Linked DNA regions of Schizosaccharomyces pombe. Changing the gene in region 1 together with any one later gene gives a genetic interaction. Each region holds a gene or a part of one and is shown on either strand. Other genes may lie near its edges. The genes, in order: aut12, sec72, tcg1 and vps1.

The links.
Region 2: mutations in aut12 (region 1) and sec72 together harm fitness more than expected from each alone (negative genetic interaction), as found in Schizosaccharomyces pombe (one large-scale study listed by BioGRID).
Region 3: mutations in aut12 (region 1) and tcg1 together harm fitness more than expected from each alone (negative genetic interaction), as found in Schizosaccharomyces pombe (one large-scale study listed by BioGRID).
Region 4: mutations in aut12 (region 1) and vps1 together harm fitness more than expected from each alone (negative genetic interaction), as found in Schizosaccharomyces pombe (one large-scale study listed by BioGRID).

The regions. Positions count from the first base shown.
Region 1 is NC_003424.3:641,345-645,588, reverse strand, and holds aut12 (autophagy associated protein Aut12), read left to right. Parts: upstream 1-2,050; 5' UTR 2,051-2,076; coding exon 2,077-3,371; intron 3,372-3,457; coding exon 3,458-3,704; 3' UTR 3,705-3,744; downstream 3,745-4,244. Other genes in the region: chaperonin-containing T-complex beta subunit Cct2, read right to left, coding at 1-660, 708-839, 876-878; grh1 (GRASP family protein), read left to right, coding at 3,962-4,141, 4,188-4,244.
Region 2 is NC_003424.3:4,386,466-4,394,512, forward strand, and holds sec72 (Sec7 domain-containing protein sec72), read right to left. Parts: upstream 6,029-8,047; 5' UTR 5,960-6,028; coding exon 491-5,959; 3' UTR 377-490; downstream 1-376. Other genes in the region: kti12 (elongator complex-associated protein Kti2), read right to left, coding at 6,434-7,107, 7,253-7,424. UniProt on the Schizosaccharomyces pombe protein: Guanine exchange factor that acts as an activator of arf1 at the trans-Golgi net-work and is thus involved in vesicular budding and traffic between compartments of the Golgi apparatus.
Region 3 is NC_003423.3:213,336-217,427, reverse strand, and holds tcg1 (single-stranded telomeric-binding protein Tgc1), read right to left. Parts: upstream 2,330-4,092; 5' UTR 2,285-2,329; coding exon 2,073-2,284; intron 1,907-2,072; exon of another isoform or gene 1,823-1,906; coding exon 1,621-1,822; exon of another isoform or gene 1,568-1,620; coding exon 932-1,567; 3' UTR 527-931; downstream 1-526. Other genes in the region: ergothioneine biosynthesis methyltransferase Egt2, read left to right, coding at 1-427; mef2 (mitochondrial translation elongation factor G), read right to left, coding at 2,529-4,092. UniProt on the Schizosaccharomyces pombe protein: Binds single-stranded telomeric sequences of the type (TG[1-3])n in vitro. Has a role in meiosis.
Region 4 is NC_003424.3:1,996,274-2,001,352, forward strand, and holds vps1 (dynamin family protein Vps1), read right to left. Parts: upstream 3,143-5,079; 5' UTR 3,070-3,142; coding exon 2,977-3,069; exon of another isoform or gene 2,926-2,976; coding exon 982-2,925; 3' UTR 501-981; downstream 1-500. Other genes in the region: Swr1 complex/NuA4 histone acetyltransferase complex subunit Swc4, read right to left, coding at 52-140, 205-410; poly(A) polymerase Cid16, read left to right, coding at 4,712-5,079.

The DNA.
Region 1 (4,244 bases):
GCGTTCAAGTTCGGCAAGCTTGCCAGTTGTGTCTACACGAACCCTAGCACCAAAAACTTTCACTTTATCCGTATCCATAGCCGTATTAGCAATTAAAATGTTAGCATTTTCCATAACTTTGGGACAGTTAACACCAATAGTTTTATTGAGAATAAATCCCTCATCAAGGAAGGAGTCATCAAGTTTACCACCAAGGATCTTAATAATTTGAATGTTATCCAAGTTCGTGCTACCTTTCAAGCGAAGCACTGCATCAACAGCCAGCTGAGCAAAATGGTTTTTATTCTGAGATAAGATTTTGGAAGACAGAGTAGTTCTGGCAATATTCTCGAGGTCACTACGAAATTTAGCAGGATCACTAGAATTATCAATAGAGGAAGCACGAAGAGCATCGATAGCAGTTTTAGTAGCAATACGATAACCATCGATAATCACTTGAGGATGTATTTTTGCATTGACCATAATTTCTGCTTGACGAAGAAGTTCAGCAGCGAAGACACACACACTGGTAGTACCGTCGCCAACTTCATCATCTTGGACTTTTGAGATATTCACTAAAACTTTAGCAGCTGCATTATCCAAAGCTATAGACTTAAGAATGGTAGCACCGTCATTTGTCACAACAATATCACCCGAAGAGTTTGATTGTAAAATTTTGTCCTATAAATCGTTAATTAAAAATTTTTTCTATGTAGATTTGACCTTACCATTCCCTTAGGACCTAAAGTGCTTTTTACCAAATCGCCCACAGCAATTGCACCCACAAACGATGAAAGACGGGCATTTTCACCCCGCTCTTGGATGCCACTTTCGTTAAAAATCTGATGAGGATTTAAAGACTATATCGTTAGTACGGTTTTTACACATGATATTACCATTTCCAGATAGTGTACGATAAACCCAGAGTTGCGGTGGTTGAGTGGAAAGTAGCTTACAGCGAACAAGAAGCTCGTCGCAACAACGTAAGCCGTAGCTTACCAGGCATGTACCAGCGACTGTATATTTCTAGTTTTGGATCGTAAATAATATTATAATCAAATATTTTTATAATATATATATTTCATTCTCTTACGTTCATATTCATGCAAAAGAAAATAATGAGACAGCTTTTAAGCATTGCTATATAAAACACTATTCTATTACTCTCAAATATAAAATATCAAAAAATTAAAAGATTTCCTATATCTATTCAAGTCTCTATGAAGTTAATACCGACTACTGAGCATGTTCAACAAACTAGATGATGGTTGGCTTAATCGAGTGTTTTATTATTGCTCAAAATGAAATATGAAGCGTCGATTAAAGATTTCAACTGATTTTTTATTTTCGATTCCCTGTATGACTTGTGTTTTCTTACAAGTACTAGACTAATGTTTTTGTTTTGGAGCAATATAGATATTGAAAGAACCAATGCGCAAATCTCAATTCTATTCAATATTAGATGGAACCATCTCGAAAAGTTAGCCAACAAGTTTCTAGATCTTTAAATGTGAATACCATCCTTAGACCTTGAGAAGTCAAGGATAAGCAGCATTTTAGTTGAAACGATAGATCAGTGATCACTCCTAAATAACTCAATATAAACAGTTTGTAGTAATACATCTAGCGCTATATTCTAAGCGCTTTTTAACATTAATTTCTTAACCAAAGAGTATTCTTAGTTTAGAGCGCGTACATTTCATAGAACGTGTAATTATTAGTTTTATTTTAAATTCAGTACTGTTCTCTGTATACAATTGACTTCCATGTAAACGTATCTTGAATGCCATTTAGTTGTAATATGAAATTCTTTGCCGAAGACTCAGCCATTCCAATCTTCCCTTTTGAATTACCTATACAACTAGGTACGAAATCATCTTCGGCACAATATCTTTATGATTGCACCGCAAAGTTGAGTTTCAACATTTATTTAAAGAATCAATAATTATTTTTTATTCAATAAAAAGCAAAATATTTAAAACGCCTTCTTTTCCCTTAATTTTAACCGTAAATGAGTGAATGAAGCGAGGTTAGCATTATTACAACAGCTACAGTCCTCCTTATTCAATCCATCCCACTAATGAAAACAGCCAGTTGATGGAACCAACATCTGAGCATTCATCAATCAAGGAGGAAGTGGAAAATGATAACGTTCATAGATCTCATGAGTCGGAATGTGGATCACTGCTGTTAAACCCTGGTAATGTTCTAATGGCAGCGCCTTCGGTGTCAGAGGATGATCAAGAAGTAAGCAGGTCTACACCAGAATTGCGAAGCCACGTGGAAAACGTTGAACAATTACTTTCTGATATATTGCATGATAATTCCTCTCCGCTTAATGTAAGCACTTCAGTATCGAGCAGTAGTAACAATACGGCTGTTGATGAAATTATAAAACTACTTTCGTTGATATCTTTTGATTTGGCAAAACAAAAGCGCACATATTTGATATTCTCTTCATCAGGGAAGCCCGTGTTTAGTAACATTGTTGATGATTCAATTGAGCCATCAACCGTTGGCGCGTTACAAGCAATTATTAGCTCTTTCGAAGTGTCGAAAGAAGAGCTAACAAGCTTTTCTACCTTTTCCAATGTTATCGTTGTTCTCTCCAAAAATCCTCTTTATCTTGTTGGCGTATCGCCATCGACAACTTTAAGCGCAGCATATTTACTCAGTGAGTTAAACCTCTTATATTGCCAAATACTTACTGGGGTTACTGCGAAAGCTATGCAGCTGACCTTAAACTCCCGCCCAAATTTTGATTTGAGAAGACTTATTGGAAGCAACGAGCAGTTCCTAAAAGAACTATGTGATCAACTTAATGATTATGAATTAGTCCCCACATTGAATGCCATATCTCCTCTTCCTTTACGTTCCTCTTTTCGTGATCAGCTGTCGCAACTGCTGTTGAGAGAAACACCCAAATCTCTGCTGTTTACTTTTATAGCTATACGAGGTCGGCTTGTTTGTATGGTTAAGGCGAAGAAGCTTTTATTACATGCTAATGATCTCTATTTACTTTTCCTATCACTCTTCCGCACACAGTCTTTTAATGATTCAATGGAGCATTGGGTGCCTGTTTGTTTTCCTACTCTAAATCCAGATGCTTATATTTACATTTATAGCTATTTCCTATGTAAGGACACTGTCTTGATAATGGGGAGCAGCGAAAGTGGTGTCTTTTTTGAAATGCAATCAGTGAAATGCAAAGTTGCTCAGGAAATTCAGGATCATGGATGGTTGAAAAAGCTCATTTATTGTGAAGAAATGGATAGAACTACGCCAAGGAATCCCGGATCTCCTTGTATTTCACATTACTTGTTTTATTCAAAGAAATACTCACAGTTTTATACTCCTGGCTATTCATTTTCAACTCCCAATTTCAATACTAGGTACGTATACAATGATCTATTTTTCTTTACAATTTCAATACGATCGCTATCTTTGGGCTCATTTGCTTTGCTAACTATGTTTTTAGAACTCTTTATGCTATTTATGCTAGCTTACACGACCAGGCATTTCACAAAAAAAATTCTTTCTCAATTAATATGACTGTCCATGAATCTTTGCTTCTATTCACGTGGTCAACTGCATCGTTCGACTTTCATTGTATTGCTAACGCTACCACTAGCAGTCAACTGCTTATTGCAAATGTTAATAAGATTTTGAGATGGATACGAAGGGAGGAGAATCGATTATTTATACAAACAAACCTTTCGTTTTGATAATGAGCATGTAAAGTTTAATGAAATTCATTTCTTTTTATTTTTTATGATGTTTTGACAGTAAAATATTTAAAAGAGCGGTGATTGCTTCCAACAGCTTTATTAATTTTTCTTTTTCCTTTTTTTGTTTTAATTTATTAATATCAGCATCATTTTACTCACATAAATTTCCGACTGTATGAACTTAATATCATAGCGAGTCAACCGCGCCATTACCTAAATCACCACCAACCCTATTTAAGTACTAAACAATCGAAATGTTTGGTGGTTTAAAGAACTTTATTAAAGAAAAATCAGAAGCTTTAGCTGGTATTCATCGAGAATCAGATGAATCATGTGGTTTCAGAGTATTAAAGGTTGAAAACGATTCGAAAGCCTATAATGCCAGAATTGAGTCTTATTACGATTTTATAACGGCAGTGAATGGGATCTTACTGGTATGAACTGATTATAGTTTTATCATTACTAAAGTGTTTTTCACAGAATGGAGACCCTTCAATGTTTATGGCTTTGCTTCGTGATTCTTCCCCCGAAGTAACT
Region 2 (8,047 bases), 3.7 Mb from region 1:
ATACGCTGTAACTTCATGCTTCCTGATTATATCTTCCAAATCACTGGCTCCCTTTATTATTTTGTCATGGCAAAATTTTGTGAGTTTAATATGTTTTCTGTAAAGTAAATTTACCATTTGTACCTTGATGCTTCAACTCATAATGTACTCGTCTTTACTTTAAGCTATTCTATATTTAAAGGCCGCAGGGACATGAAATGAATAATAGAAGAGGATATTTCACGAAAAATCTTTAATTGATCGTTAAAAAAAAGGTCTCTGGTGTGTGTGGCAGTAGCATCTTCCTTCTGGCGTTGGATTACTACAAATACTGATTAGCTTACATGCAGAATATTAAGAGGTTGTTCAAGTTTTGAAAAAAACTTATTTAAAAGAAGGGCAATTTTTTAGAATAAAAAAGAAAGTTTACCAATAAGTTATCTAAAATTATAAAAGGATTATTTGTTTTACTAGAAGCTAATTTATTGAAATTAATTGAAAATCACTTTATTTATTCCTGTTGGGCATTCAGGTTTAATAGAATGTGACCCACACGATTAAAGTAATTTTTAAGTAGTTCTCTAAGTTGATCATCAAGGTTCTCCTTTGCAATCATAGAACAACAAGAAAAGTAAAGAGTGTGAATGTTTTCGGAAAATAATTCTAAAGGAAGATTCAGTATACTGTCCAGGATTGTAGCAATGACAGGCTGCCATGCAGCATGGTTACGCGTATGTTTCTCAACAACCAAGGAAGCATACATATCCAGCATTTCGGCACAAACCGGAAAAAGAAGTTTATGAATTTTCTGATCCGTTTCTGTTTTACCTAAAGGGTCTCTGGTTTTTAATAAGCGGAAGAGCAAAGTGATGTACAACAATGCACTAGCCGTTTCTTGTCTCAATAAATTAGGGAGTTGCTTCATAAATCCAACGTTCAAAAGCGTAATACGTAAAGATTTGTCTTCATTAAACTTGCGAGCAAACTGCCATGAGTCGTAAATAGCCACAGTTATTTTCAATACATGTTCATGGGGGATATGATTAAAAACTTCCTCGTTATCTAACAATTCAGCAACAATACTTATTAAAAGTAGTTGAAGAATACATTTTCGAATCATTGAACGGAACTCCATCTGTTTCTCAGGGGAAATTGAGGATGTCGAAATTGAACGAGAAGTTTCCGGTAGAGAACCGCCTCGCTTATGGCTCAATTGAGTATTTTCATTTTCGGAGTAAACAGGGGCTCCTTGCCCATTGGAAAATGTTTCTAGAAGAAGAAGCTGATGAGGGGTGGTTTCCTTGAATAACTCAATAAACATATCAGCGACCAGATTCCAATCTTTAACTTCAAACCTATACGCATTTCCAGAAAGTAGCTGCTGCATACAATTTGTTCCTATGCGAGAAAGTGTAATATTATCTCTACAAATGCAATTGCTAAATAACCATAGATAACCTTTTAGCAAATTGTGAAGTTTGTCAAAACGGCGTGTTAACAAAGTGACGAGACTTCGTAACGCTTCAACAAGAGTAGTAGATTGCCAAGTCCTGATCTCCTCATCCCTTAACATAACAGTCGCTTCATCCGCTTCTGGTCCAAATATTGAGAATATCGGGAATATAAATTTTCGTGAAACAACTTCCCAAGTTTCTTCAGTGAAATCATCAGACTCTTCTAAGAATATATAAAATAAGTTTTGAAGAGCTCTTGACCTTACTTCCAAGTCTTCAGCTGACATTATTATATCATAATATGCAAATAAAACTGGGAAAACATATTTAGAAAATGTCTCATTTACTGAAGGCTTGGAACTAAGTCCTTCCTTTATCATAGTTGAAAGACTTGAATAAACTTCTCTAATAATTTCCAAACTTTGTAAAGAGATTTTCTGGTTTGTTCCATTTTTGCATAATTCAGTGAAGGATATCAACATATCTATCAAACAATTTTGCTGCATTAAAGTATCATAATGCTCGGAAAAAAGATTGACAAGGGTATCAAAAGTCATAGAAATTAATATTTCGCTTCTAGCCTTAGCCGCAAATGTAAAAACGCCAAACAAAGTTTTCCATCCAGATTTTATTTTGGAAATTTTAGCTTGAATCATTTGCTTAACACATTGTAAAACAAGTTCTTTGACTTCTACTACGGTATCGGAAGCCATAACGTACTCAAATGGCTTAAGGAATTCTTTCTGAAAGGAAAAGAGAGACAACTCCTCAATTTCGAGAAAATGCATAGAAAGCTGCCTCAGGGAATCCAATGCAAAAACAGCAACATGCCTATTCTCATCACTACCCACCATGTTGAAGAATCTACCCAAAACGTTCCAAATTGATGACCATTCCACTCTAATCCTTTGCATGTTATAATAGGATATCTCAACCAGCTTTTGTAGACTATATAGCCTTGGCTGCTCCAAATCACTAGAAGATGTTATTTCATCCCAAGAAACTTCACATAATGCTTTAAAGAATGATACTATCGCAGAGCCAGAAAGAGAAGATGTTTGGGTAAATATTCTATCAATGCTCAACACTACCTCAGTGGACATTAGTTCTGAAACTGCCTCTGGGGATAAAGGTTTAGATAGTGAGCGAGTTCTAGTCGAACGAGAAGTACTTCCACTAACATGCCGAATTGAGTTTGAAGAACCAATGTTCACATTCTTTCGACGAACACGTGCATTTATAACATCAGGTACTTCTGTTTCATCGACACCAACACCAATCAGTTGCACGCGTTCTAGTTGACTTATAATAGTAAGGATATCTTTCCAAGAATCTTTCAAATTATTACCTTCGGTAGATGCAATTCTCAGTAATGTTTTTATAACCATAGTATTACGTAATTTGATTTCACTGGTAGAATGCAGATTAGTAAAATTAGTCAGAGTTTTTATAAAAGCGTCTCGAATAAGGTCAAGGTCAAAGAGACAAGCTATACGGACAACAAGCTGAAATCCATCAAGACACATATTAAGTTCATTAACATAATCAGAATTTTGTAAAGGGTTTGAAAGAGCAGCAAGTATAGGCATCCAAGTAGCCTCAAGCATGGGACCTATATGTTCAAAATGAGTAGCATTGTAATAAACATTTGTTTTTTGTGATCCATGTTTCTGTTGATACAATAGCTTTTTTAGCACACTTGTAGCCTTATTAGCCATTTCCTCCGAAGCTTGAATACAAGCTACTCTTTGCAGATCTCGTCCATTAGAAGTAAATGTGGTGAATCCACTAGATGTGCTGAAATTATTCATTAAAGGAGCAATCGCTGCGAGTTCTTGATCATCTTTCATAGCAATTTCATTTTTAAGAATGTCATCATATACAAAACCAAGATAGTCTTCATCTAAATCAGCACCGTCATTAATTCCACGATTATTTTTAATGAAGTCTTCTTTTGTCATTTTGTTTTTAATACGAGGAGAATGCAAATCAGTATTAAGCAATATTATAGAATAAGCAAGAATGTAGGCAGTATCAGCATTAGCGAATGCAGACGGATTCTCCTTCATATACCTTTCGGAAAATTTCAGCATAATTCGATCAATTTTTTGGGCTTCACCGGGTAGTCTGAAACACTGCAATAGACGACGTAAAGCGTCTACAAACTTTAAATTTATAAAAGATAAACAATCAATAAATTCATGCATCACGGAAATACTTTTCTCATCCCCTTCTCCTAAGTAATCTCCTAAAGTAGTTTTGTCAATACCATCAGCACGAAACAGAAATTCAGCGATAGCTTTAGGATCATTTATGTCAACATATTCATTTTCTGAAAGCATCTTAAGACCTCTAGTAGGTTTGTAATTGAACTTGTTTATACAAGTCCGTAATAGCTTCTTTCGTTGTTTGTTTGATTCAAATTGTGAAGGATCTGCAAGTGCGATAGAACTACTGCTATGGGAATTTGCTTCAAACGATTGTTTTCCGTTATAATAAGGATTCGTCACAGGAGTATCAGACCTGGAAAGCGCATCATAATCTCCAACAAAACCTTGCTCATCCGTTGACACACCTCGGCGAGATAAATAAAGACCACTTTCGGCCCAATTTGATAAAGATTGCAAAATGTCAAGGACGCATTGCAAAGTCTTTAGCTTCAATTGAAAATCGCTAAATGTGGTAAGTTGAACCACTTCGGACTTTAACGAAGCAGAGTTCGTATTTAGAAAAGGGGTACTACTCCGTTCAGAAGATTCTAAAGAAGGAAGAATTTCTTCAATATCTTCGGATATCGTTTCCGAAGGACCATTGGTAGTAACTTTTGAGATTGAAAACAGCAATTGTTCGAAAACGTTGGTAGTGGAAGAACGATCACAATCGTAATTTATATACAACTCTACAAGAGCTCTTGGATTAAGACAGATTCTCTGGATGATTAACAAGGTATGGAGCTTCTGATTGTAGGAGGTGTTCTTGAGGTCTAACATCGGAAAATAAACTTCTCGAAAAAACACTTCAATTTCCTGTTTGAAGTGGGCACGCAAAGAAAAAACCATAAGATAAAAAATGTCACAACAGACTTCAAACACCTGGGGAACAGGACTTACAGCATTGCGAGATAATACTAGGCAAATATATTGACGGGAGGCATGAACAAGGGTCATTCCTTTAAGTGCTGGGATACCACGAAATTGGAGAGTAGGATCCATGAATAAGTCACTATTTTTTTCTAAAATGCGATATATAAGATGGAGACTAATTAATTTCGCGCGCATAGCTTGAGATCTGATATTACTGACTTTATCAGGCGAGGTTTGTCTGACAGCAAGTCGACACATGGATCGGAACACTAAAAACGCGTCTTGGATAGAGGAATTCTCAACACTGGTGACAGCTGGGTCATCTGCGTCAACTTTAACATGATCTAATGATGAAGTGCCAGCAGATGCCATAGAATGAAGAGTAATTTTCTTGTCAGGCTCATCCTCATCGTGAACCCAATTTTCCGTCACCGATGCATCTTCTTCCGGTAAAGCAGATGTAGAGTTCGACTGAGTGTGGCTCGCGCGTAATCGTTCATAGACTACAGTGACAGCCTGAGTCAAAGAAGCTTGAGCAACTGACTGTATAGTATCACTATCCCCGAGAAGAAAGACATTAAAGAGTTTACGAACAGAATTCAATAATATCGCTCCATGAAGCATACTATCCTGCTCAGAACATAAGATAAAGGCAGATAAAGCTTTTACAACATTCAATTGCAGATTTCCATCAACAACTTCATCATTGATACTATCGCATACCATATCAACCATACACTGTAGAAGGGATTTAGGGGGCCCAAATGAGGCAGGTGTTTTATCTTTTGAAGAAAAATAGGCGAATGAAGCAAGTTTAGAAATAGTGTCTAAAGAAATGTTCATAACTTCATCTTGACTGGATTCAAAGCAGTACTGAAATAACTCTACTATCAAAAATTTGTCAAACTGACATTCGGTTTGTAGAAGAGGTTTTAGTTGCTCCATTAAATTCTTCATCTTCTCGTTCTTCATACAAACTTTTATTTGTATAAGCTGCTCGATGCACTTTATAAGCACTACATGAGTGGATTTTTCCAAATTGGTTAAACCTGATTTTTGCTTTTCCAAACTGGCCCTCGATGCAGCGTCAGGTACAGGCGTCGCGATAGTTTCATTGGATTTTTTGTCGTCTTTCAAGTCTTCTTCTTGATATTTCTGCTCGATTCCTTCGGGACTCTTTTCGTTTTCTTGTTTCGCTGGCGACAACGACGAATCTTCTGTATTTATATCAATACTTACCACAGCATCGCCTTCTAAACTTTCAGAAGCAACACGACCGAGATCCATACCATTTTCATCATCTTCGTTGTCAGAATCATTAATAATTTTAGTAACTGATGTTGTTCCAACTTCTGGAAGATCTTCGTGTCTGTCATGTTGCTCATTCACGGAGTTCATAGGCAGAGCAGGCATATTGATCACAGGTTCAGAGGCATCCTGCATTTTGGCATCGGTCACGTTCAAGCCAATTGCCGTCTAGACGAGCCAACTTTTAGCAATGAAATATAAGGCGGAGTATGTCTTTGCTAAGTGTTTTCGGCCTTAATGTGTCGAACGTTAGATCTCGGTTCAATGTGCTACTTATATAAAGCAAACGAGCGAGACTTATAATAAATTGTTTTATTACAGTATGGATTAAATAGTAAACATTATAACTAGATTTATACAATATTCGTTGTTTTACTGAAACTTTTATTGTCGATATTGACCGTGAACGTTTTCTTATTTCTTTTTTACAGGACAGCATTCCTTAAACTGTAAAAGGATTAAGGAATTAAACAAAATGTACGATTTCTACCATTTTAAACATGTTCTAAAAAAAAGAAACAAACAAAGTTAAGTATTAATATTAGGCTACATTTTTTCGTCCCCTTAAAAATCCCAAAAAAAAATATCATAAAGTTTAAGAAAAGGATATCAGTCCAAGGTTTCAAATTGACCATTTAAAAATTCGACAAACATTTCCTTGAGAACATTGGTATTATATGATTGTTGCCGGTTAATTTGGATAAATTGACGGCGCAATCTTTGAAGTAAAGGAAGAGATACTGTAACACTGGGTAATGCGATTTGAAGTTTGCTCCCTGGTACAGTAATCAAGGAGGTATCGTTGGAATTATCCAGTATAAGCATGATTACGTCTTGAGTAGTTTTATCTAATTCATATAAATAGTTGACTTCAGCTGGAGGTTTTACCATTGTAGCTTGGTTAGGCTTGACATTTTTGTTATGAATAAGAACTGACCAGATGTCATCGATAGGACAAGAAGCATCATCGTGCAAGACAGTAAATAAAGGGGAATCCCATCGTGTCATTCCATTCGGTTCTTCATAACGAAACATTAATTGCTCAAGAACATCGTCAGGATACGGCTGTTCCTTGTTACTATTGAATTTTCGACATAAATCTTGAGGAACAGCAACATGAATCACACAATGAGTTGTGTACATAGACTTTGATTCACAATATAACTGGTATCGAAATCCTTTTATGTAATTCAAGGCATCGCAAATTACGAATGTAGATTTTGAAAGTTCACGCTGAACAGCAGAATAGAGAAGGCCACGAGCGGCCTTTTCGTTCTTGGACTCTAAGACAAATTAGTTACCAGAATTACGAAAAATTGCATATACGGATTCTCCCATCATCTAGAGTAGCTGGGCACAATCTGAAGCCAAAAATGAATTGGCTAATTTCCAAAAACTAAATCATTAAAGATAACTATTTAAACATACCTCGATATGTTTCTTTTTCAATGTTTAAACTCTCATCGTTTATTATTATCACCCGATAATCCTTTGTATTGTCGATATTTTGATGAATTCGATCTTCTAAAGCCTTTTTAAGTTCATTTGACCTCGTTGTTTTCCCTGAAGATGGATAACCTGAAACAATTATTAATGGCATTTTCTTTATGTTCTACAAAATAGAAGGTTGAATAAAATCAGCCGTAAAACATATGTTTGAAAACTTCCAGCTTTTTTTTGATATATTTTTTCATGAATTTAACGAAAATTACTAGTTCGTTAAACATTAGTAAACAGTTAATTTTTATCCTTAATTTGTATTTCGTAATGCGCTCAATTTCGGTACTGACTTATTACTTACGACTAGTAAGTATTGCTTAGGCTTAAAAACACAGTAATTTCAATTTGCGGTCTCTTTAATTTAATCTTGCTTCCCTTTACCTTATCAATTGTTCTAAAAGAATTAAGGATTAACACTAGTAAGACCCCGGATTTTAATCGCTAAAAAAACATGCACGCCTTCTACGCAATCAGGGTTGTTCAATTTAAAAATAGTAATCATTTGTTGAAAGATTTTAAAGGTGCATAGGACATCAAGAAATATAAGCTAAATGCAGTTGATTAAAAGTTAGAAAAGTATCTACTTATGCCGCCATTAACATGTATCTGGTAAAATGCGACTAACTTATAACACATGTTGTATACCAGTCCAATGATTAATTTAGTACCCTGGAAAACGTCTTGAATATTGGGTAAAGAAAAATCAGAACTTAAAGAAACCTA
Region 3 (4,092 bases), on another chromosome or scaffold:
AAGAGAAAAGGAATCAATTGCCGTAGATACTCTTACCAATCGGTTTGTCAATTCTTTCAAGCAAGATTTACCTAAGTTTATAGCTGTTGGTGAGGCTATTAAGTTTCGAAAATCCATTGGAGGGGAAGAAAAGATTCAACAATATTGTCATGAAATAGCTTTAAAGGGAGCCGAAATTATTTCTAAAGAACTGGGCACTTCCTTTATCAAACCTCCATACCCAGTTGCAATGGTAAACGTCGAAGTTCCCTTACGCAACATTCCCTCCATAGAAACACAGAAAGTATTTTGGCCTAAATATAATACATTCCTTCGATTTATGGAATTTAAAGGAAAATTTTACACTAGACTTAGCGGTGCGGTGTATTTAGAAGAATCAGATTTCTATTATATTGCTAAAGTTATTAAAGACTTCTGCTCTCTTTGAATAACTATGCTTCACAATGCATCCTCTGACTCTTTTTATGTGACTCAAAGCACTTAAGTTATTTAATACTCACCTGTGTTTTAGACATTGCAGCACAATAGATTCTAAATCTTAAGAAGCCTATAACATTCGTTTAACTAGTTACTTATATTTTGCGTGAATCAATTATTACAACGTTCACAATTTTGGAAGAAAATGTATATTTTTACTTGAAGCACTTTAACGTTTCAAATGTACAAAGATGCAAAACTATTTTTAACAATAGGCCCGAATGTATTTTTGATACAAACGGAAAATATATAAGGCACAGAACTCCAAGCAATGAATATAGTCTAGTCTACAAAGCTGCAACTTTTTACCAGGAACATGCATGGGTTCCATGCTAAGGGAGAGAACGTGACGTGCGGAAACATGAGGGTATTCGGGACATATATAAGTATAATGGCGAGGCTCATTATAAAAGGAACGAAGAGCCAGGAATAATCACAAATCATATTTTAACTTTTAGGCAGTTATAGCACTAGCAGTAACGCCTGATTTTTCTTCTGAGTCAACCTCAGATGCTTTGGGCTCAGTAGAATCAGACACGTTAGTGGGAGCAGATTCTGAAGCCTCAATAGGTTCGTTTTCATTTTTTTCATTTTCATCATTTTGCTTATCTTCACGGAAGACAGCACTTTTAACAACCAAAGTAAGGTCACCTACTTGCTTTCCATTCATTTCCTCAATAGCTCTGGATTGATCCTCAGCATTAGCAAAAGACACAAATCCAAAACCACGACCACGACGTTGCTCACCACGTAATTTTATACGGCGAATAATATAAGGAGGAAGGGAACGAACAGCAATACGAGCACGAGTAGGATTGTAAGCATCGAACATTTCTTTAAGGCCTTCATTTGTTAAAGTAACGGAGAGGCCTGAAACATAAATAGAGTTGGGAGGCAAAGGCTTAGCCTTGTTTTTACCAGACCCACCCTTTCCTTTGATCTCATTTTGTTTCTTATCGACACCATTTGCTTCATTACTTGAAGGAGCTGTTGCGGTATTAGCTTCATTTTCATCACTGGAGCCCTTAGCAGATTCAGCATTTTCGACAGAAGTTGAAGTTTCAGGTTCTTCACCATTTTTATTTTTTGACTAATGTGTCAGAATGATATTGATAAAAGCTTTGCGAACTAAAGTATACTTACCTTTTTCCTATCTTTTATAGGTTGCTCTTGGACAGGACGAGCTTTTTGAACAACAATCTCGCGATCATCCAATGTTTTACCATTCAATGTCTCTATAGCTTTGTCAACATCCTCCTGATTGTTGAATGTAACAAAAGCAATGCCAGAAGGTACGAGACGGGTACCACGGCGAACACGACGAAAAGGAATAGTTACTTTACGACTAAAAAGCATTAGTAGATGATCAAATATAATTAAAGTAGCACAGATAGTTTCGAGTAAATATAAGCTCGCATAGCTCCGTTTTAAAATCGTTTTTGTGAAAAATATAAAGTATGACTTCTAAAAAGTAAATTTTCAACAACTCCAAATTATGCACTGATTTTAATAGAGAGAGCTTTAGCTTTAGCGCTTAAACATAAGAAAATTTTGTTCTAACTCGAAATTGCTAAAACCAGTAATAGTTTACATACACAGTACCAACCGTTTCAAACAATGAACGGATTTCACTCTTTTTGGTAGACGTACTTAAACGCCCTACAAAAACACGAAAGTCGTCCGCTTGTTGAGCAGGTGTGTTAGATTGTTCTGCAGATGCATGTACAGCAGCATCTACAGATGCTTCAACTTGATCTTGAACAGTATTAGGAGCGTTTTGGGTTACAGTTTCCTCAGCGGACATCATTAAATTCGTCTAGGCGTTTTGTAGTAATTATAGTCGATATATGCTAACGGTAGGTTCCATCTGACGTTGGGGACAACATGTACACAACTCCGTTGCAGACGTGTGTGTATGCATACACCGAAACGTATAGAAAAAGAATGTCAAACATACAGCTTTTTAATGATAAGGATGATTTTTATAGAAAAATAGAATTATATCTTTTTTTCTATGTATTTATTTTACCCATTAACCCACATTTCTGACCTTAAGGAAATATTCGTTTTTGTCTCTGCATAGACATAGGATGAAAGGAAGAACCGTAATTGACCAGCTTGGGAGTTTGAGATTCCATAGGATGAGACATAAGAAATTTTGCATTACCTTTTGTTAAAGAGCTTATAACACTGTTGTAGTCGAGAATCTGCTCCAAAGGCACCTGAGCACGAATACATTTAATGACAGATGAACTCTGTAGTAGAGAAGAAGCATTGTTTGCTTTAACAGAACTAGGTTCATCAGCTGGTAGATATCTTTCACCTAATATTCCTATCGCTATCTGCGAGTCTTTCGAAGCAGCATTCTTTCCAATCTCTGTAATTTCTTTGATCGTGGCTCCCCGCTTGCCTACAAGATCTTTAGAAACAATACCAACATATTCTTCAGGAGTTGTAATTGTAACATCCATATAAGGTTCTAATATTCTGAAACTTTTGGGACTTCTCTTGTATAATGAAAATACTGCATTTTTGGTAGCTTTCATCGATGCTTGTGTCAAAAGTGACAACGGAAAGTCATTAGATAGAAAAGAAGAAATGGTACAAAATGACTGCAAATTCGTGAGAGGAAACCCATGTAAAGGCCCATGCGATAGACCTGCAACTATTCCAAAGTAGATGTTTTCTTGAATACGTTGGAAAGAGAGATGATCCGGTAAAGTACACGAGTTTTCCGGCTTCCAGCCATAAAACAAAACTCCATCTTCTTGCCCTTTACTTCGAACTTTTTGGATCTCACCTTCAGAAAAATATTTTTTCAAGGTTTCATCTCCTTCATCAGAAATAGGGATTAAGTAAACATTAATAATGAGATTCTCTTTATTTTCTGTGCTTAAGGTAACTGAATTAAAGCTTACATCAATCAAAGTTTCACGATAACCAACTTGAACTTTTCCTAAAGATGCTCGAGCTCCAAATTCAGACACCAGTCTTTCATAAGAAACTTGTAAATGCATAATGCCCATCCCTTGTATCAATAGTTGTCCATTCTCTAAATCTTGGGTATATCTAAATGAAGGATCTTCACGATTCATGTTAGCCAATGCTTCTAAAAGTGCGGGTTCATCTTTTAGCGAATAAGGTTCTATAGAAGCAATGCAAACAGGTTCAGGAATACTGATAACACTTTGATTTCCAGAAAGGTACTCATGAAAATTTTTTGAGTTCTCTTTATTAATAATGATATCTCCGGTATGAAATTGTTTAATCCCACTAATCACTCCTATGTTTCCAGCGGAAATGCAATCAACTTCTTGAGTCTGGTCAGCGAATACATTGTATAAACGAATTGCTCTTTCTGACTTTTTAGTTCTTGGATTAAACATCATCATTCCTCGGCTTAAAGTCCCTTCATTGACTCTGACATATGTGAGAATTCCCCTAGAAGCATGATGTATAACCTTGAAAATCTTTGCAAGCAAAGGACGTTTATCCAGGGAGATTATTTTGTCACTACTCGTTTCTTTTGAAGCATTTTTTTCATAAAATTCTACAGGACTAGGAAGATAATCAATGATCGCATCCATGATGGGCTGAACGGCTATATTTTTAAGA
Region 4 (5,079 bases), 1.4 Mb from region 1:
CAGTTTAGGTTAGTTTAACCAAGCGCTTATCAAATAAAATTTCAAACATACAGGCTTCAGAATCTACTTCTGATTTAAGGACCCAATGATGCAAAGTAAAATCATCCTTACGGCTTGATATGGAAAAGGGCTGGCGTACCCTACAAATTAGTAAATTCCTTACTGAATACACAAATTTATTTATTTGAGCTCTGATTTACTCACCAATTTTTAGCTTTGTGACTAACTTTTGGTTTTTCCTTAAATTTCTTTTGGTATATTGCTAACGGGGCAGAATTCTCGCCTAGCAATGAATAAAGTTCTCGAGAAATTCCTTCTGGCCTTCTCTCTGTTGGAGTTTTAGATTTCTGCTTATTTCCTATTTCAGGAGGAGGTAATTCAAAGACATCCCGAATGTCAGCACTAGTCATTGTATTTTGAACTGAATTTTCTCATCAGTGTACGAATAAAACGCCGACACTTCAAATGTGGTTTTCTTTTAAAAAACGTTAGACTACAGTATTTATTTAGCATAACACTGCGTACTCAATTGTCCTATTTTTTAAGGAGATTTTAGAGTGCACTTGCAATTTTGTAATTCAGGAAATATGGGAATAAAGTAGTATTGATAGAGTAGTTATTTAATAAAAAAAAATAACCAACTTGAGATAACACCATATCGGCGTTAAATATAATCTAAATGTAACTGAAAAACTTTTATAAAAACTTCATTGAGTCTTCCTAACGCTACATTCGGGAAATCTTTATTTAAAGACACTACAACCCTAGGAAAACATAAGTATCGATTTAACGAAAGTTTCGATTTTAAGCGAGCAACTTCACATGATTGTTCATGTAAAGACAAGAATATATGCGATGAAAAGTGCGTGACGAAAAATAAAAAACAAGGATCTTTAAAGCAATTAAGACATTCATCGATATGAGATCATCTCATAAGGTAACTTAACCTCGTTATTTTAGCAGTTTGTTATCATTATATCATTAAACGTTAGACACAATCTCACTTGCCTGTAGGAGAGATTCTACCATTTGTTCGCATTCTTTACGACGTTGCACTGTCACTTCGCTTTCCTGGAGTAATTTATCGAACGCCTGAGACTTGTAAAGCTGCTCAAGCAACTCGTGCTGAATGTGCTCTTTAGAGTATTTTATCATTTTCAAAGAAATGGATTTAGGTACCATATCGGCCAATGTCCTTTTAACAATGTTGAAATAGGACATAATAAGTAGTTTAATAACTTCAGTATCAGTCTTTTCGCGGTCTGAGAGAGTAGTAGAAGCTCTTAAAACCGGTGGAGGAGGCTCCATAGCTGCAAGTCGCTTTTTATTCTTAGAACCAAAAAAGCTTCCAAAGAAATTCTGTCCCGAAGATGATGAAGTTTCAACTGGAGGAACGGGGTTATTTGTAAGTGCTTTTCCAGTTTTAGGGTCAACGGGTATCGGCTTACTATTCTGACTTTGAACAATCGCCATTGCTTGATGTCCAGATAAAAAGTCTGGATGAACAGTGTTTATATAAGAACCTTCCATGGCAACCATATCCATTACAAGGGTATTAGTGGGTTGCATACATTTTCTAAAGAAACCAATAACAACCTTGTAAAATTCATCTTTCAAAAGAGGATAACGTTTAAATATGGGACGTTGAAGCAATTGATTTAAAATACGGACAAGTTCGTCGTAAATGAGGGAAACACACTTCAAGGAAGGATCCTCCAAACGCTTAATTTGTTGCTTGACAATAACTTCAAATGCAGCAGTACCCATAAATAAACTAGGAGAAGGGCCAGATGAATTGTACAAAATGGTGCGAATATCCGAATCCTTAACTTCATCAAATGGATCAATTGCTTGAATACCATTCGAAAAAATTTCATGAAATACGAACGCAATACGAGCTCCTCCTGAAAGCTCCGTAGCAGAAAGCTCTTCACTACGGCCGTCCACAACTGTGCGATATTCGTTGCAAAAGTCAGTAATTAAATTTAGTACAATACTGGAGTTGTCGCCAACAGGAGTGTCCCCCAAAGAATGTAGTTCGGCCTGATATTTGGCTAAAGCAGCGTTAATACGAACTTTAATTTCGGGAAGGGTGTTCCGAATATGGTGCATCAATATCATATTTAGTTTACGAGCTAGAAATGGAGTACCGCAGTATTGCGCTTTAGAACCATAGGAAGGATGCGTTTCAAAAAAGTTCCTTTCTGCCTCAAGAGCTATACGAATAGACTTCTTCCCTTCGATGTCCTTTTGACCGCGATTTATGACTGGAACATACCCAAGTCTCAATGGAATAACACGTCCAGCTAGAATATCTACCACATCCGTACCTTTATCCATTAAATCAACCTTGGTCAATACACCGATAGTGCGAAGACCTTCGGGGTCAACTTCTCTAGCAAGTTTGAGACCATCTGAGTTTGCCAAATCAGTATTGGCAGCGTTTACAGCCAATATAATGGCATTGTTTTTAGATATATACTTCAAAACCATTTCACGAATTTGCTTTTCAATATCTCGAGGTTGGTCACCAACCGGTACCTTTGTAAGACCAGGTAAATCTACTAGTGTCAGAGTAAGCACATGAGGAGAGTAAATACGAAGATAGATAGGAACCGAAGAAATGCCAACATTCTTTCCTGTTTTTTCTTCTGTTTCTCTAACGATTTCTTCACGAATCTTTTCAAACTCAAAGAACTTTTGTCCGGGAAGATGGAGGAATTCTCCCCATTCAGATGAATTATTCTGGTCCTTTCCATCTGAATCAGTAGTTGTTTCTTCATTTTTTCCACTAGCGCTAGGTCTATTAATTAACTGCAGAACCAAAGGACGCCTTGTTACAATGCCGGTTCCTCTAGGAAGGAAATCTCTCCCAACAATATTTTCTAAAACCGATGATTTACCGCTTGACTGTGACCGTACGACCTAACAATTTATTAGTGAATTTTTCAATCTAAGTTAAAATTCACAACATACAGTAATCTGTGGTAAGTCAATCAAGTTTTGAACGCCAACTGTGGAGAAAGCCTCCTGAAGTTGATTGACAACTTTAATCAATGAGGGATCCATTATCAACTATGGATCCACTAAATAGACAATTTTACGAATGGGCGGTTACAAACCTGATGGTATGTGCTGTGGTAGTGTAGTGTTTACTCGGATATGTCGAATAAAATTAGTACCTCGCTAATCGGATTTCAGTAAGGCTGCTTGAAGGTGGCTTAACAATATCGTGTTGCTAATTGATTTACCAAAAAAGAAACAGTGATGCCCTTGAAACGTTGTTGTCAGACTTTAGACAATAAATCTAATGTTTAACCCTCGATAAGTAATATTAAAGCGATGCATCATTCCATATTTAACGAACGATAATATACTAATATTGCGTTTTACTACGTTGCGTATCACTATATGCCCTGTGTTGGAATAACAGGAAAGATCCTTTTAATGATAATTGCGAAATGCTATTTATCTTAATACAAAGTTACCCATTGATACTTGAGTACTGAAAAAATTAACGGAAACTGCTTTAACCTTGTTTTTCAGTACAATTATAAGCTATTCTGCTGATAAGTAAAAATAGTACCTATTTACGAGAATCTTTATAATATAGTACGCGTTTTGCTGCGTACCGTAATATTGTATATTTCAAATAAAACTACCACCACAGTTTTAAAAATTGGTTACATTACGCGTAGCTGACAGTGCTCAATACGCTAGTTTATTCAAAAACGAGTTTTAGTTCAGTAGGAAAAGGGAATGGACTTTATAGAAACAGCAATTTTTGCTAATTATTCTCTGTTTTGCTGCTGATTAGAAGTCGACAAGTGTGTTCAATTTGCACATGCCATTGGACAAATTTTAGCAATCACCTTAGCGTCAAACAATTTATGCTTTTTGTTGGAAAAAAACCAATAACAATTGGGACCTTTTTAGCAATAAATGGAAGCGAATTTCATAGTGGATAATATCTCTAATTTTTATCAAAGCATATTAATATACCATATGCAAACTTACAAATAGAGAAACATATGAAGTCTTGGTTCTTGACTCCAAAACTAAATAATACTAGCATTCCAAAAGTTAGTTATCAAAATAAATGGTTGTATAACTCGTGGAGTAGTTTGTCAAAATCTTACACATTTTGCTTCGTTTCTTGACACCTCTATCGTATACAAATGCCAAATCAATATCTTTGATATCTTGTAAATAATTTTTTGTCAATAAAATTACAATTTTTACAAATTTGTTACTAAACAGGATGCAAATTTGGGTTAACTATAAAATCCAACTTCTCTGTATTCGGCATACTGTTAGGTTTATACATGAACGGCATACATGTAAAACCCAAATTTTTAAGCAAATGCTACGACGCATAGGTTGCTTCATGCTCTAGCGAGCGTTTAATAAGAGACTGGAAGATTGGTACTCCTCCTAGGATCACTTACTCCATAACCATACCAATGCACTACTTACTCAATGTCTTCAACATAAATTTAGTATACATGTCTTTTTTAAGTCAATAAAACAAAACTGTCTTAATGTGCTCGTTGAAGAAAATTCGACAAATTATTTATTCTTTCAAAGGTTTCGTTAATTAATGTTTCAATCGTTTAAAAGCGGCATACCCTTTATTTATTCTGTGATCCTTAATTAAAAGCAAAGCCTAAAAAGAATTTTTACTTTTTTATTTAAAAATATCACTCGTGAAATGCTATTTGCCAAATTATTGTTAAAACCTGTACAAATTTTGTTTGCTTACGCAAAGGCCAAGAGCAAAGAAATTTCAATTAAAGAGGCTAATCTACTAATATTCCAAGATGAAACTGACAATTTGAGGAAAATTTCTACCCCTAATAAGTTGGCTGTTTCTCTAGCTGGGGGATTGAAAGCACTTCTGAGCTCCAACCAATTGTGCCATGCTTTTCATTACCATAACAAGAAGATCAGACTAGTTGATACATCATTAAATAATTTGCCGGTACCAATCTTACTTCCAAAATTGATTAATTATTTATTAGCTAGAAAATCTCAAAAAAGCGCTGCAGAGTGGGAAGAAATAGAACGTGCACTGTTATC